Drosophila melanogaster: one gene and its partners. The protein of the gene in region 1 interacts with the protein of each later gene in a pairwise test. Each region holds a gene or a part of one and is shown in the gene's direction. Other genes may lie near its edges.

Evidence for each region. Proteins that work in one complex are often made in the same cells at the same time.
Region 2: the proteins of CG10650 (region 1) and sala interact in a two-hybrid assay, tested with the Drosophila melanogaster proteins (one large-scale study listed by BioGRID).
Region 3: the proteins of CG10650 (region 1) and CG9312 interact in a two-hybrid assay, tested with the Drosophila melanogaster proteins (one large-scale study listed by BioGRID).

What each region holds. Positions count from the first base shown.
Region 1 is NT_033779.5:18,992,517-18,998,289, reverse strand, and holds CG10650 (uncharacterized protein), read left to right. Parts: upstream 1-2,355; 5' UTR 2,356-2,435; coding exon 2,436-2,511; intron 2,512-2,577; coding exon 2,578-2,688; intron 2,689-3,268; coding exon 3,269-4,153; intron 4,154-4,298; coding exon 4,299-4,504; 3' UTR 4,505-4,930; downstream 4,931-5,773. Other genes in the region: CG31792 (uncharacterized protein), read right to left, coding at 1-10, 81-166, 235-311; CG46465 (uncharacterized protein), read right to left, coding at 5,059-5,631.
Region 2 is NT_033779.5:11,482,760-11,487,943, forward strand, and holds sala (spalt-adjacent), read left to right. Parts: upstream 1-1,947; 5' UTR 1,948-2,272; intron 2,273-2,421; 5' UTR 2,422-2,455; coding exon of another isoform or gene 2,456-2,968; 5' UTR 2,969-2,995; exon of another isoform or gene 2,996-3,024; intron 3,025-3,322; 5' UTR 3,323-3,450; coding exon 3,451-3,462; intron 3,463-3,532; coding exon 3,533-3,949; 3' UTR 3,950-4,190; downstream 4,191-5,184. Other genes in the region: CG43355 (uncharacterized protein), read left to right, coding at 2,456-2,968. UniProt on the Drosophila melanogaster protein: Likely to be involved in the establishment of the head.
Region 3 is NT_033777.3:13,763,837-13,768,097, forward strand, and holds CG9312 (uncharacterized protein), read left to right. Parts: upstream 1-1,919; 5' UTR 1,920-2,023; coding exon 2,024-2,047; intron 2,048-2,108; coding exon 2,109-2,185; intron 2,186-2,269; coding exon 2,270-2,601; intron 2,602-2,997; coding exon 2,998-3,200; 3' UTR 3,201-3,267; downstream 3,268-4,261. Other genes in the region: Cht5 (chitinase 5), read left to right, coding at 3,843-3,846, 4,256-4,261.

The sequences.
Region 1 (5,773 bases):
CCGAGCGACTCTTTGCACAAAATAGAGATATGAGGATGTATATATGAAAATATTATTATATATACACCAAAAACACTTACCGGCCCTATGCTCTTTCAAGGCCCTGTAAAGGTCCTTTGCACCCAATGTGACCTTTTGCCCCTTAATAAAAGTGGGAATGGTATACCTGAATTATTTGAAAAAATTGTTCACACTTGAAAAATATGTTGGCGTCGCACGTTTGCACTATCTTACCAAAAGGATAACGCAGAAAAAATATTCGATCGTTCTCGAGGATTCTCCGGGAGATCTTCATTCTTAAAGGACTGCATTTTATTACGATTACTACGTTATGTTTCGCTACATAACAAATATTATGCAAGTGAAACAATCCAGACAGCAAGAAATAAATTTGAATTAATGATTTTCTAATCAATAAGTAATTAGCCATTAAACAGCTTGTCTAAAATGGGACAGAATACGATTGTCGAGCTACCCGACTATCAGATACCTGCTACTCAGGTAAAATTTATTCCACACGCCTTCAACGTCACTGGCACTTTAAAATCTTGAACTTCTACTATAATATAATGACCAGCATTTTTGGTCTTCTGCAAAGAAGTCGTTACCAAGAATCTAAAGCTTTTTGTAATTTGTTGACGTAGGTTTCCGAGATCTCGACGCTTATATGGACAGACATAGTCGGATCGAATGATCAAAAATATTTATACCTTCTAGGCTTGAAGTCACTTGCACTTTTCAACGTATAACATGCTTTCCAACGAACTAATTTATTAAATTGCAATGCCAGAAATTCAACTAAACAGCAATACGTCCGCGCGTAGAAAAGATCTTAAAGGTACTGAGTGTGAGCAACATGATTAGCTCTCGGTGCTAAATTCGCCGGAGATAACCCAGATTAGATTTCGGTTATATTTTTTGAAGATAATGGCTTTATGTTGAATACCAGTCTGGTTCAAAAAAACCTTAAATGATATGCTAAAGATAAAAAGATATAAAAGTATGTACTTACTATTTGTACTTTGTTTTATTGAATCATTTTGTCTAGACTTCAACTTAAACCTTAATAACATAAAACACCGGCATGTGCAGAATTTAAGAAGTCGCCCAAATACAATAAATAATAATAATTTTTATTAAGACACTGAGAGAAAAATTAAGTTTCGATATTAAATTAGGAACGAACGATAAAAAAAAAAAAAACTTAAAAGCAAACACATAAGTTCAAGAACGAGTAACCGAAATTATAAACTTGAGAACGAACGTTCACATATAAACAAAAGTCTCACTTCAATCCTCAAGTATCGTTAAGATATATGACTTGTAGTTAAGGCACATTGTTTATATGTTATTAGCCAGAAAATTGGGCAATACAGCTTTACATATATAATTGTACACTTTCCTCGTAGAATATAAGGGTTAAAAACTATGAAACAAGAAAGTGTTTTTGACCCTACAAATGTGTATTTATTCAATTAAATCTGGGTATCTGATAGGAATTGAGTTCTTTCTTGTTAGTTCAAATTACATTATTTTTTTTATCAATGGAACTATAGTCAATCCATAATCAAATGGAAAGTTTGTCGAACCTGTAAAATCTGGAAATTGAGATTATTCATGCAGTTTTTGGTGGCGCCTTTTATTTTTATACCCTTGCAAATGGTACATTGATTTCATTCAGATTCGTATATTCAACAGTAGAGTCGATACAGTCATGTTTGTCTTCGTTCAATTTCAGTTAGTATACATATAGGTTGGACCACTATATCATATTGCTGTTATAGGGATAATCGAAAAATAATGGTAAGTATTAATATATGTATGAGATATACAACAGTTTTTGACCATATTTTAATTTGATGAAAATCAAAAGAAAATATATCATATAACTGCCGTACAGCCAAGGCAAACCAAATTTTAATTAAAGTATTTAATTATCGTTATAATTGTGTTCAATTATCCGCCGGCTAGATCGGAAACAGGAAGTTACTGTTGATGTATATTCGTTTAAGGAAATACGGTAAGAACGTTGGCAGCATGGGTTAATTTTTCAGCTTTTGCAAAAGCTCCAAAGTAAATGCAGGCTTGTGGTAACTATCATCGCATGTGAACAGCGTTGTACACACACACACTTGCACATTTACACCTGGGTATTGAAGTTATCAGCTAAAAGAGAACTGACTTCCTCCGATTGTACATATATATATATATATATATATATATGTATACAAACATATATATGTGTGTAGAGCAGATAACCACTGCATGCGGAGAAGAGCTTGGCAGGTGTTAGTGAGTTCAGGTGAAATTGATTATGCGAATGGGGGTAAAAAAAATATGGCCAAACAGTGAGGGAGCCAGTTAAAAAACGGTGGTCGATCCAGCCGGTCCGACATTTCAGTTGAGAAGCCAGAAAGAATAGAAAACCGAGAGCCATGAGAGAATACAGCCTGTGTATGATTGTGATAGCAGCTTTCATTGCCAGCCAGCTGGACAGCACCTCAGCCCTCCGTAGGTTACCACATTTTGGATGAGTTTTTTCAAATGACTTACTTCAAATTATTATTGCCATTGCAGAGTGCTATTCGTGCACATCGACGACGAATGACACTGGAAATTGTTTAACGAGTCCATCTACTCAAACTTCTATAGAGTGTGATAATGAATGCTATACTCTTATTAACGCAGGTGGGTTTGTATGACTCATGACCGACTATTTCATATTCTTAGACGGGGGTAGTGGCCCTCTTATCGATCAGTGCAACCAAAGGTGATAAGCGATTATCTCTTTTTCTTTTTGATAGCTATTGATCCTTGTTTTCTTTTCTAATTTCGTGCGGATCGAAAAAGGTTTATGATGTTGTGACTCATTTGGCAGTTACTGCACTACCTGGCTTTTTCGTGTTGTTGTCTAAGATTTAAATATTGCGTATAATTTGATTTAATAACGAAGAGAACGCTAAAGTGGAGTCACTCGACCATCAGATACCTCTTTATTCAGCTTGTGGGAGTTTAAGGTACACATTTAAACATTCTGTTGAAGTATCAGTAGAATCTGGCACGCTTTGTGGGCTTTAGAGTGGGCGTGAAAATGATCTGAATGAAATTAGCACAGCTTAGGCGCCACTAGAATCTGCAGGCTCTCAACTTATAAGGAATATATAAGTTATATTAGAAATCATTATAAGTTTATATTAGAAATCATACGAAGTTTTGCTCTGAACCATATTCCCTTGCATCTAGTTATTGATTTTCTGTATCCCAATAGGAACTCTAACTCGTGGCTGCTTGATTAATGGCACTGCGTGCACCTTACCATCCTGCTCGACCTGCAAGGAAGACAATTGCAATTTGAATTTGGTGTGCCAGCAGTGCCTCGGCGAAGCGAATTGCGCCACGACCAACGTGACGGATACGCAATACAATGCAGTGTGCCCCAATAATGGACAGGTCTGCGTGAATCAGTTGAATGACAACAAGACGGTGACCCGTCAATGTGGTGACCCCTGTGCTGCTGGAACGGAATCCACGTGCTCCTCATGCTCGGCATCCCTGTGCAATGTGGGACTATTCCCCGCCAATCGTCGCCAGTGCTATAATTGCTCAGGAGAGAACTGCAATGCGGTCTCAAATACCTTGGTCGCGGGATGTAGTCAAATCGATGCCGGGTGCTTCACCACCGGAACGTCTGCGAGCAACATGACCCGTGGTTGCACATCGGCCACCACGGAAATCAAGTGTGCGTCGGACAGCACTGATCCCAGTTGCCTCGTCTGCAACTCCGACTTTTGCAATAGTCCGACCTACGAACGAGAGGCCGGTTCCTGTATCATTTGCGAGAACTGTGCGGAGCAACAGGTTGCTACCAATGCGAAGTCCTGCGGACAGGCCAAGTACAACCAGGAAGTCGGGTGTTATACCATGACCTCAGGAACCAATGTTACCCGAGGGTGCCTAAACACCTTGGAGGCTGGCTGCTCTACAACCAATGCCTGCACTTCCTGCTCCGAAAATGGCTGCAATGTGGCTGCCGGCGAGTTCCAGTGCATTACATGCATTTCGAATGAGGTTTCCGGCTGCTGGTCGGCCAAATATCCGGACACGCTCCCTTTGATCAACTGCCCCAATGGAACGTGCTACAGCGGAGTCTGGAGTAAGTTGGTACCAAGTCTAAGCACAGCGAATCAATGCTATAGTTTTCAAAGATTTTATTTTATAATGTAAAAGGGTATTCCCAAATTGCATTATTATTATGCCAGCAAAAATCCTAACAATTGCCTTTCAACATTTTCCCCCAGATGAACTTGGAGTGCGAGGATGTTTTACCGCTGCCAGCCACCTGATGCAGTACCAGTGCAATGCCAAAGTGGAGGCCCATCAGTGCGAATTGTGTACGGAGAGCAAGTGCAACAAGGTACCCTTCAATGGAGCAGGCGCACTCAGGAATGTGGGCGTGGTCGGCCTTCTGACGGGAGTGGTGATCGCTCTACGCAGTGCCCTGTAATCCAACCACCTCCACGTAGTTGGATGATCCAATCAAATTACCGGGTGCCTGGGTCTATGAGTAATGTTAACTATTACAAAGCAACAGACAAAAAGACATAACCTAATTATAGGAGCTGAAGCATTTTAAGAACACTTCCATAATCCCAAATAAATCATTTTAATAAAACAATTACTCTTTCACAGTAGTTTAGTAATTATGTCCTTGGAAAACCCTGTTTTCATTGATGGCTAGTGGTAAAAGAGTTTTCAACCTGCTAGGCCTTATCAAATAAAGAAATAATCACAACGCCTTATCAACCGCAGTACCATTAATAATATACTTTGTACATATATGTGTGTATATTTATTGCATCAATCAAAATGAGAGTTTATATTAACAATAGTTCGAAGAAATTTGTTTGGGTGCACTAGAAGAGCCAGTTGGAAATGTCTCAGAAAGTATTTGTAGCATTCTTAGGTAACTCAAATTACATTTTCCATTACATGACGATGGTGATTTCGCCGAATTCCATAATTTTGGTTTTCAATTTGCCATTATTAAGCTGAACAGGCCTATAATATAATCATAAGTTTGCATTTTTCACTCCTAAAGAGCCAGCCGGCTAAACAGAAGATCATTAGACTTGAGTATATTATTCGCGATCCTGCATTCGTGGCCAAACCATTTTTATCTATTTCCACATAGTTGCAATCGTCTTCGAAACACCTCTCACAGAGTTCTGCATGTTTCTCGCAGTGTTCCAGTGAACTCTCGTCCATGTCGGAAATGCAGCTTCTCACCATAAAGCCATCTGGTCCTCCAGCACTGCTGTTGAAGTTGAAGTACATAGATACGCAACCGTTCAATTCGCCTAACTTTATGTGGCACATCTTTTTGCCCTTCCTAGTTCTGGTTTTCCCCTCATTGGGTGAGCAAAATTTACAACTGAGGCATCTTATAGGCGGAGAAAGCGTTGTTGTTTCCTCGACAGGTGACGAACTTTCCTCCATTCCGGTGGTATGGTCTGAGCTCATAGTGGACTTTACGGTGGGTAACACTGTACTTGTTTGCTGCTGGTAAAGTCCCTGGACTTCGAGGACTGACAGTATAGTAAGTAGAATAATATTATTGGAAAGCAGACACATTCTTAAACAAAACGTATTTAATTTCTAGATATATTCAATTTTGGTTCCGCTGATCCGTGCTTATAGACACGCTTCGATGACTTAGCCAACTGCAGTCTAGGTTCTGTTGAGCCATTTTATATCCTCTAAATGATATGGTTTC
Region 2 (5,184 bases), 7.5 Mb from region 1:
GATTTTCCAATTTCATCATCATCTTCCATACAGTACAAGTATGCCATTTTGTTTTCCCTTAGCGGCACACAGTGGGTACCAGAATTGTTTTTCACAAAACCTTTTCATATGCACATACATTGTTGTACATACGACAACACCATAAATATATGCTTTAGGAGCATATTCGTATATGAACTAACTTAAACATACGTTACATTTTTGGGCATTATAATAGAACTTGAAGCTCTTGGGATAAAAAATATATAAAAAATTATTTTAAAAAAAAACTTTACTCATTTCTTCTGGTCTCATGAAAAAGCACTTCACGGTTTGAAAATTGTGAAGAGTATATGATGAAAAGCTGACACACGTGCGCTGAAGTTAAATGTATATACCACCAGCCAAAAAAAGCATTATCGCAAATTCACCGAAACTTTTCATAAGTTTGGAGAGCGCTGGGGGAGATCGTGTTCGAGAAAAGGTTTTCCCCGTGGGTTGGGTAAAATGTAAATATCGGTGGTAATGGCCGCCGCCCCAGGAGGTGGAAAAATCAACTGACCAGTAACTTTGGAGCCAACTTTGATGGCATCTTGCGAAAGTTGAAAGTGACTTAAGTGAAATTTCCACCTCAGGCGGCTCAGCAGCAGGACGACCTCGTCCCCTTTTCCATGGATTATCGAGGGGTCACGCCATGAACATGAGTAAAAATTAAATTGATTTTCCTCGGACATTGTTCGGACCTGTTCAGAAACTCGGTGTGCTTTTCTTTTTGGCCCTTCATGGGCTTCTGTCAACCCAATGTATTTTGTCGCATCCCTCGGAAAACTTGAGCTGGGCGAACTCCTTTAACTTGCCTATGTGGCATATTAAATTGGTGCGCAAATAGTTGTGTATTTTATTGACTCACTTTTACAGCTCAGCCAAGAGTATTTCGCATCTGCCCAAATTTTTAGCCAGCAAAATATTAAGTTGAGAGCTTTACCCCTGGAGTCTACCAATGCCGCAATACCATTCCTTTTCTACTCGACTTAAGCGACAATTTCATTTCAATTAAATTATAATTATATCTTCAGTTTGGCCCCATCAAGTTTGAGTCAAACAAAAAGTACAATTTTCATTTTCACCTTTGCGAAAGACGAGGCGGGCGTTGATAATTCCCCAAAATTGTTTGACACTTCAAAGTCATTATGAAGATAGCAATCACCAAACCCTGTTCCTCGGTCCGCTCAACTTTTCTCCAAGGGTCCTGGCATATCTTCACGACATTCACTCCCTGCCACTTCCAAGGCTCAGCAATCCTTCAGCTCCAGCCTGCCCCTCGTCCTTTTGCCACTTTACTCAATCCTAAGATGGGAATTGCCACGTCTGTCTACATACCTACATACCCGCAGCGCTTTTTGATGTAATTTTGGCATAAGCCAAAAAATGTTTCCTTTTCCCGAGATGTCTTTGTCTCCACTTCATTCCCCGGCGAGTGGTTTCCGAATGCGACACGCCCTGACAAATTCATCCGGGGAAAATGAGGAAAATGGCTGAAAATTAAATTTGGAATTAAAATTTTGGCCCTGGGCACATAACTTTATGCCGCTGGATTTTCTTTCCGCCCAGAAGGATTTCCTTACTCAAGGATAAATACTTAAGGCAAGCGTAGGCATAATAATAGCTAAGCAGCTTCTCGGAAATTAAGACGATTTAGTTGTTTAATTCTTTGGTTATCACTAGACTCCACAAATAAAGAGATAGATTGAAAATGTAATTAGATAATCAAATATAATTTTCACAGTTTTAAAGTTTAACAATATTGCTTATTTAAATGGTTGCTTTTCACCTCCGAATTTACTTTTAATCTCATAAGCATTTGAACTTGTAGTATTTTTGGCGGCGATATGTTATCAACAAACAACTCTTCCAAAAATAAACCTATATATTATTTTTTGGCAACCAAATACAATGCCACTCTAAATTGTAAATAACATTTAAGCAGCTGATCCAATTCTTGTGTTCAAAACAACAAAATTCAAAGCAATTAATTGTGCGCTGGTTTTTCTTTTTGCCTTTACTTGTATTAGGAATTATTCTTTAAAATATTTATTGATAGAGAAAAAAATATCCAGACTTATATATATCAATGAATTCGGCCACTGCGTCAACAAATCGAATTCTAACTTGTTTTAGCTATTAAAAGCAACAAATAAATGACGTATTAATAAGTACGCTAAAATAAACCAGTTGCAAAACAAACATTTATTTACTGTATATTGTTTCCATTAAGATAGAAATAGGAAAAAATGTAAGTCAATGAATATATACATAGAAAATATTCTTATCAGCTTACCATATGTATGTACAACGGACGTATAAACATATATAATAATTTTTGCATATAAAAAGATTCAAATGCATCTTGTTCTCAAAAATATTAGTCATACATCTTTTCAGATCGTTGCTCTAAATTCATCTGAGACTCGATCAGATGGGCTGTCGGCGATTTTCTGGAGGAGGACATCACCCACACGGAGGTCCACCTCCCCCTCGTCACCATCATCACCATCGTGGCAGACATGGTGCTGGTGGACGCTGTGGACACGGACACCAGCACCAGCCTTTTCCACCACCGCCTCATCGCCCCCATCGACATGGAAGTCACTTTTGGGAGGGATACGGTCCACCTCCACCACCGCCCCATTATCCACCACCAGGGGGATATCTGTATGGTGGCCACCATTGGCAGGGATATCCTCCTCCGCCACCTCCGCCTCCTTCTTCACACCACCCCCCACCATCTGGATCTCCAGCAGGAGGGTGTCCGCATTGCGGTTGCCCAGGAGGCGGTCCACCTCAAAGTGGATTTCCTGGTACCGAAAGACCTCACAACGAAACCTCAAACGACGATCAGCATGGCAGCTTCCAATCTCCAATTCCCGGTGGCGAAGTTCCTACTGATGAAATACCTGGAAAAAATAAATACGAAATCATTGATATTTAGACAACAGTAGAAAATGTTTCAAAAAAGGTAAAGTCACTATGTTATATCTTGTATCTGAGTAATGTCTTATTAATGATTTTATATTATCCGGATTTTCCTGATCAAAAAAATCGAGTAATGTTATGTTGATAAAAACTTTTCAAATATCAAATAAATAAATATAAATAAACAAATAATTTAAAAACTCCTTTATATTTCCGTCATTTCAATATGGTACTGAATTAGTATTAGTATTCTATTCAATTCCGGATTTTTCTGTTTTTCCATTTTCCCTCTTCCAATAAACTGGTTTATTTTATTTTCCATCGTAACCAGATGTTGACGGCAATACTTTTCTGTGATTTCCTTTTACAGGTAGAGACTCAAACTTAAGTCCCTCAGCCAGGTAGAATACCTTTCAGCTACCTACTTGATATTACCAAATCGTGGTATAAAAATCAAAAAAATATTAGAGCCGCCTCAGTACCGAAACTTCAGCCACGATGAAACTACTGGTGCGTCTTCTACTATAGAAATCTTAACTAACTTAGAAATATTTTTATAATAACAAATTTATAACTATAGATTGCTCTGTTTGCACTGGTGACCGCTGTGAACGCTCAGAATGGATTCGGCCAAGTTGGACAAGGAGGATATGGAGGGCAAGGAGGATTTGGAGGATTCGGAGGAATCGGCGGGCAAGCAGGTTTTGGTGGACAAATAGGATTCACTGGACAGGGTGGAGTTGGTGGCCAGGTGGGAATTGGTCAAGGCGGAGTCCACCCGGGTCAAGGAGGATTCGCTGGACAAGGTTCTCCAAACCAATATCAGCCTGGTTACGGAAGTCCTGTGGGATCTGGCCATTTCCATGGAACTAATCCAGTTGAGTCCGGTCATTTTCACGAAAATCCTCATGAATATCCGGAACATCATGGCGATCATCACCGTGAACATCATGAGCACCATGGACACCACGAACATCATGGACATCATAGACATTAGTACAAATATGAGAATACCCATGACAAAATTAAAGGAATGTAATGCTATAGTTCTCTACCGTAAATTCTTAAGAAACACTTGCTTGTTTCTGAAGTCTCTATTGTATCTAATGTCCAGAATTGATTTGTAAAAGTGATTCTTTATCTAAAACCCCCTTGAGATCCACTATACAACGTGCCTTCTTGAATTTCAGTATCTAAAATGAAAAAAAAAACGGAGTCTCAATAAAAAAGTAAATAAGGAAACGGAACCCTTTACTCTGTCCATTTTGGTTGAGGCATCTATAAATTATTTTGCAGATAGCATACAAGCATATATACCCCACACATCCCATCTCAACTTTTGCAATCGGAGAAAAGGATGCCGTCGACCGCTCCCAAGCGACATTTTCTGACCAAAGCAGCTGACAGAATTGAAAAATAAGCGACGTCCGACTAAAAGGGGGAATGGGGAGGGAATGGTAAAGGGTGGGGTTCAGGTGGGTGGGGGCTGAAGGTGAAAAATAAAAAATGGCGTCCAGTCGAGTGCTCAACCTCAAGATTTATAACGAAGGAAAAAAAATAGAGTCGAGGTGAGGGTGGGAAAAAAGAGCACACGTTAAAATAATGCAAAAGCTGAAGAAAACTAAAAAAAATGTGCGGGAAAAACTGCCACCCACACGGCCAAGGAAAGAGTGAGAAGGAAAACCGCACACACACTGATGCGCGCAACAACGGAAATGGAAAGGATAAAATTAATTTTTCTCCTTTATTGCCATTTACTTCACCTGCTGCTGCTGCTGCTGCTTTCTCCCACTCGCTCGCGCTTTTCCTCGAAGGAGAACGAAAAAGTGGCCCGGAATAGCGGGGCGGCTCAAAGTGGGTGGTGGCCAAAGGGTGAACCACCCAAGCGGCAACATTGCTGACGCTATCAAACACCACAAACACATTTAGTTTGCGGGAATTTGTTTTTGCGTCGCTCACTTTTCTTGCTACTTCTTTTTCTTCTGGCAATTTGCGCCATAAAAATGTGAAAAAAAAATTTGCAAAAAATAAGAGCGGAATAAAAATGCCATGAGAGGCAAGAAGAAACTGTCCGACAAATAAAAATGGCATAAAAATATTCCACTCACCTGAGAGGTGCGAATTGGGTCCCCAATACACTGTCATATAAAAGGATGAAGATTATAGAAATTTAAATCTTTTAAAAATGTTGTAATTATATTTTAAAAAAGCTGTGCAAAAATATTGCTTAAT
Region 3 (4,261 bases), on another chromosome or scaffold:
ATACACAATCGTACACATAATTATTTAAATGTAGGTCAATTAGCCAGGCAATTAAAAAGGAAAGCGGTTGAAGTCAAATATTTGATCATGTTGATGAATGTTTTTAAAAATGAAATTGCAATACAAGTCAATGGATAAAATTATACGCAATCGCTGGTTGAATTTAATGTCTATGAAAACTTCAAAAGTTATTGAAAAATTCGCATAGCTCTATTCACAATTATAAATATTGATAATAAACTTACTAACCCGAATGAACAACGACGTAAAAATGTTAATAGAGAGTACTATATAATCTAGACGAAAACGATCCCTGCAAAATTGTACAAAAGTATATTTTAAGTTATTAGCTTTTAGTTGTTATTATCTATTTGGTACGGTATGGTTTAAAGTTCTTTTATCATTATCGCTAAGTTCCCCAATAATTCCACACAAGTTGTTTGTACATTTCGCGGTGCTATATGGATGTGTGTATGTAAATTATTTGCTCTCAAGTTTTCCCCTAAGTTTGCGCACCCACAGAAGAAGTTAAGCGAAGTCAAAGTATATATATATATATACATATACATATAGATACTGACAGATATGTCGGCTTATAATTGCTACTGCACCAGGCATATAGGCACGCATACCTCCGAAAGTGGGAGGGAAAAACATTATATAACAAGAACACACTCAACAAATATTTATTGCATATATATATATATATATAGAGATATACATAAACATATACATACATACATACAAACTGTACGTCATAATATGATAAGAGTTGAAGACGATAAACTGCGACCGAGAAATGTTATCAATAAAGATTATAGTTGAAAATTCAAATGCGCCATTGTTTCCATTGTAACATCACGAAGGTTTTACGGAACCAGGAACTGGACGACTGGTCACTTACTGCCCAGACTTATGACGAATCTCGCTGCCAATTGGCGGCTAAATTCAAGATCAATGCTAAGGGGCGGAATCTCCAACGCCGTGAATCACAATGAGTCCAACATATAGATATTAACTTTGATTTGTATTCCGGCCCGACGCCTCTGGAATGACAAATAGACCCAGAAATCGACGTAAATGCTGGCACTACGGGCGTGGGAGTGTTCATAGATGTATCGGGTGAAATGTGGAGCATTCGATAACTTTCTAAAAGAGTCTTATCACAGCCCGATATCACATTAGCATAATCGTGACTCTTGTGGCTCAGTGGATCGCCCACAAGTGCTTCAGTGATAGCCAAATTTGGATTGGCTATAATTAATACACAAAAAAAGTTTTATATACAAGTGGCCAAATTTGAACAATTTCAACACGGTTAGATGTCTCTCATGTTAGATTTTCCAGCAAGGAAAACTAAATTTAAATTGACTACTATACTTAATATTTATATAGTATAGGCAAACTTTTTAGTAATTTTTTTTTTAATTTTAATTTATTATATGCGTAAATTACGCTTGCTTCACAAGTTAGTAATTATTATACAGATATTTTCCCAAGTGTAATGGCTAACAAATACGTTAATCTGTGAGGTTTTCGCACTGCCGCACAACGCACTCAATGGGGTTCAATTCGACGACGACCGCAAAATTAACAACATTTTGTCACATTTACTGGCAATTAATGTACGTTAGCAGCTATTCCGGACCAACATCGGCCCGACTAATTACAATATGCTCAAGAAACAATCGACCTATGAACGCGGTGGCTTATGTACATACATATGTAAATTGGTAGTTGGTATGAAAAACCTGAATTATCATTAACCGATCAGGTTTATGGCGTTGAGCGGCGATGATGCGCGCAAAAGTAACTCAAAATCTGAGTGACTAAGGGAGCAGCAGATAAAAAAAAACCCCGACATGCGACATTGTCCAAGTATTAATTGTGCGGAATAAAGTGACTCGACCCGCGAGATTTAGTCGATTTTGTGCGGCTAAAGAGCGAGGTTCAAGCGAAACGTTCCACGAAAGATATATACGGCTAAAGTGGTGCAGTTGTCCAAGGAATCCAGAATAGCAGTATGTTAGCCTCAGTTGCCGCCCGTGTAAGTCCAGAGAGCGTAAATTGATGGCCCCAACCCCATTTCAATCGCATATTTCAACCAGCTGGCGCTGTTCGCTGTGATAAGCACCCAGAGTCTGCAGCTCCTCCAGGCTGCTCCGTTCCCAGGCATCGAGAATGCGTCAGTATCCGTATCTGTTAGTCCCGTATTTTCTCTTCACTTCACCTGGTTTTTTCCCCTTTGTTATTTTGCTCCGGTTTTCAGTGCCTTCACCAGTGACGATTTATTGGCCGAGGAATCGTCGCCCGTTGTTAGCCAGGTCCACGTCCAGCACAATCGGCATCGTCGCCATCACGAGGATGGCAATTACCATGGGCACAGACACCATAAGCGGCACTGGGATCACCATTTTCCGGGTCCAGACTGCCATCACCCTGCCAGATTCGGGTTTGGATTTGAGCATGGAGGACCACCTCCCCAAGGCCACCACCACAGATTCGAGCCACATGACTTCCAACCGTTTCCAAATGCCTTTGGACCACCGGAATATGAGGAGCACCGGCGGCCATTTGAAGCGCCACTGGAGCCTTTTGAAGGTAAGTGTTATTTTTGTACAAAAATTTTATATTTTTGTATCTAGTTTGTTTTGGTAAATATTTAAATTAGATCGGGTCAGAGTATTAAAGTTGGTATATTGCAAAGTGTTGAAAGAAATTATTACACCATCACTTGTTTATTTTTCAAGTTGGTCTACAGCTTTCTTTTCCTATCTCTCTGATAACAATGTTTGTCAAGTTTTTAGGGTAAATATAATAGAGTAAATAAAAATAGAGCGCGAAGTGTTTGTTTTAATTTTAATGACAATGTTAACATACTTTATTTTGTGTATCTGAATCATTTACTCATCTAGAGTATCCAATTATGTATTACACATATTATACTTACAAATCCATTAAAACTTCACATCTTATCAAAACACTTATTCCTTTTAGAAAATAAAGGGGGAATCAAGGAGCTTACAAAGCAAGCGAGCTCAAGCAGCTTAGCTCCACCACCCGCAGCTCCAGTAACGCCTTCCTCACGCACCAGCACCACCACCACGACAACCACCAGCACCACCAGATCGACTACCTTGGCACCCACCTCTTCCAGCACCGAAGAGGCACCCTTGGCCATCGACATACGCATCGGCTGACGAACCTAGACCTAAGGCTCCATTCTATCTTATGCATTAAAGTGACATTAAAGTTGCTAGCCAAACCACAAGTTATCTATCCATTACCATTATAATCGGCCAGGCGAAGCCTGGATGCGCACAGCGTAACCATATCCAGGCCACTTACAGGGATCTTCTTTTAGGGCTGTCTGCGCTAAAATATATGGTAATTCTAGAGCATAAACAACGGCAGGGGGTGACAGTAACACAAAATGCGAATGCAAAACAAACGGAAAGAAAGTGGCAAGACAACCTACCAGCTAAACTGATCTGGAATTGAGCACACTCAGTCAGCAGAAACAAAACAAAAGCCCCACTTTGCCCCACTCCTACCCGCGACCATTCCCGCAAAGTTGCGATTCTTCGGAGAATCGCACCTCTCACGCACTCTACGCAGGAACAAAGGCGCAATCCAAGAACCGGACTGCAAAAAAAAAAGAGTGTTTCGAGACCGACTCCCACTATAAAAGTCGAGCCGATCGAGAGCTTCACTGTCATTTGACGCCAAACGCGCGTCGCACGCAGAAGTCTCGAGATTCCCCCGATTTCACAATATAGTATATATATAGTTATATATTCAATTCTTCGCCGGATCGTCGTTTCGTGGAGGAGCATTTAGAAATGGGTAAGCCGCACTGTGCATACAAAGTGCAAATCGGTGAATGAACTTGAGGCGTGCAGCGTTATGGACACATAACCTTAGCCGGTCCAAAAGTATAAGACCTAACACACTGGAACGATAAGAGACTCGAACTACATTCAATTAAAAATGCGCGTCACGTCGATCTCAAAAACAAGTCTTAACGGGCAACGGGAGAGGCTTTAACGATTCTTTTATTTGAAAACAAAAACGAACATAACAAGCTGTTGTATTCCTGAAAAGTCCAAGGATGATGTGCTTAAAATAAACAATATACAATACTTACTTGGTTCATAAACTCTCAAGGAGTGCACTTCCATTAAATTCATATCTTTATAAACGTGTTCTATTTATACCTTCTTCATTGCCGCTTATTTACCACAACTCCTTTTAGTTCGAT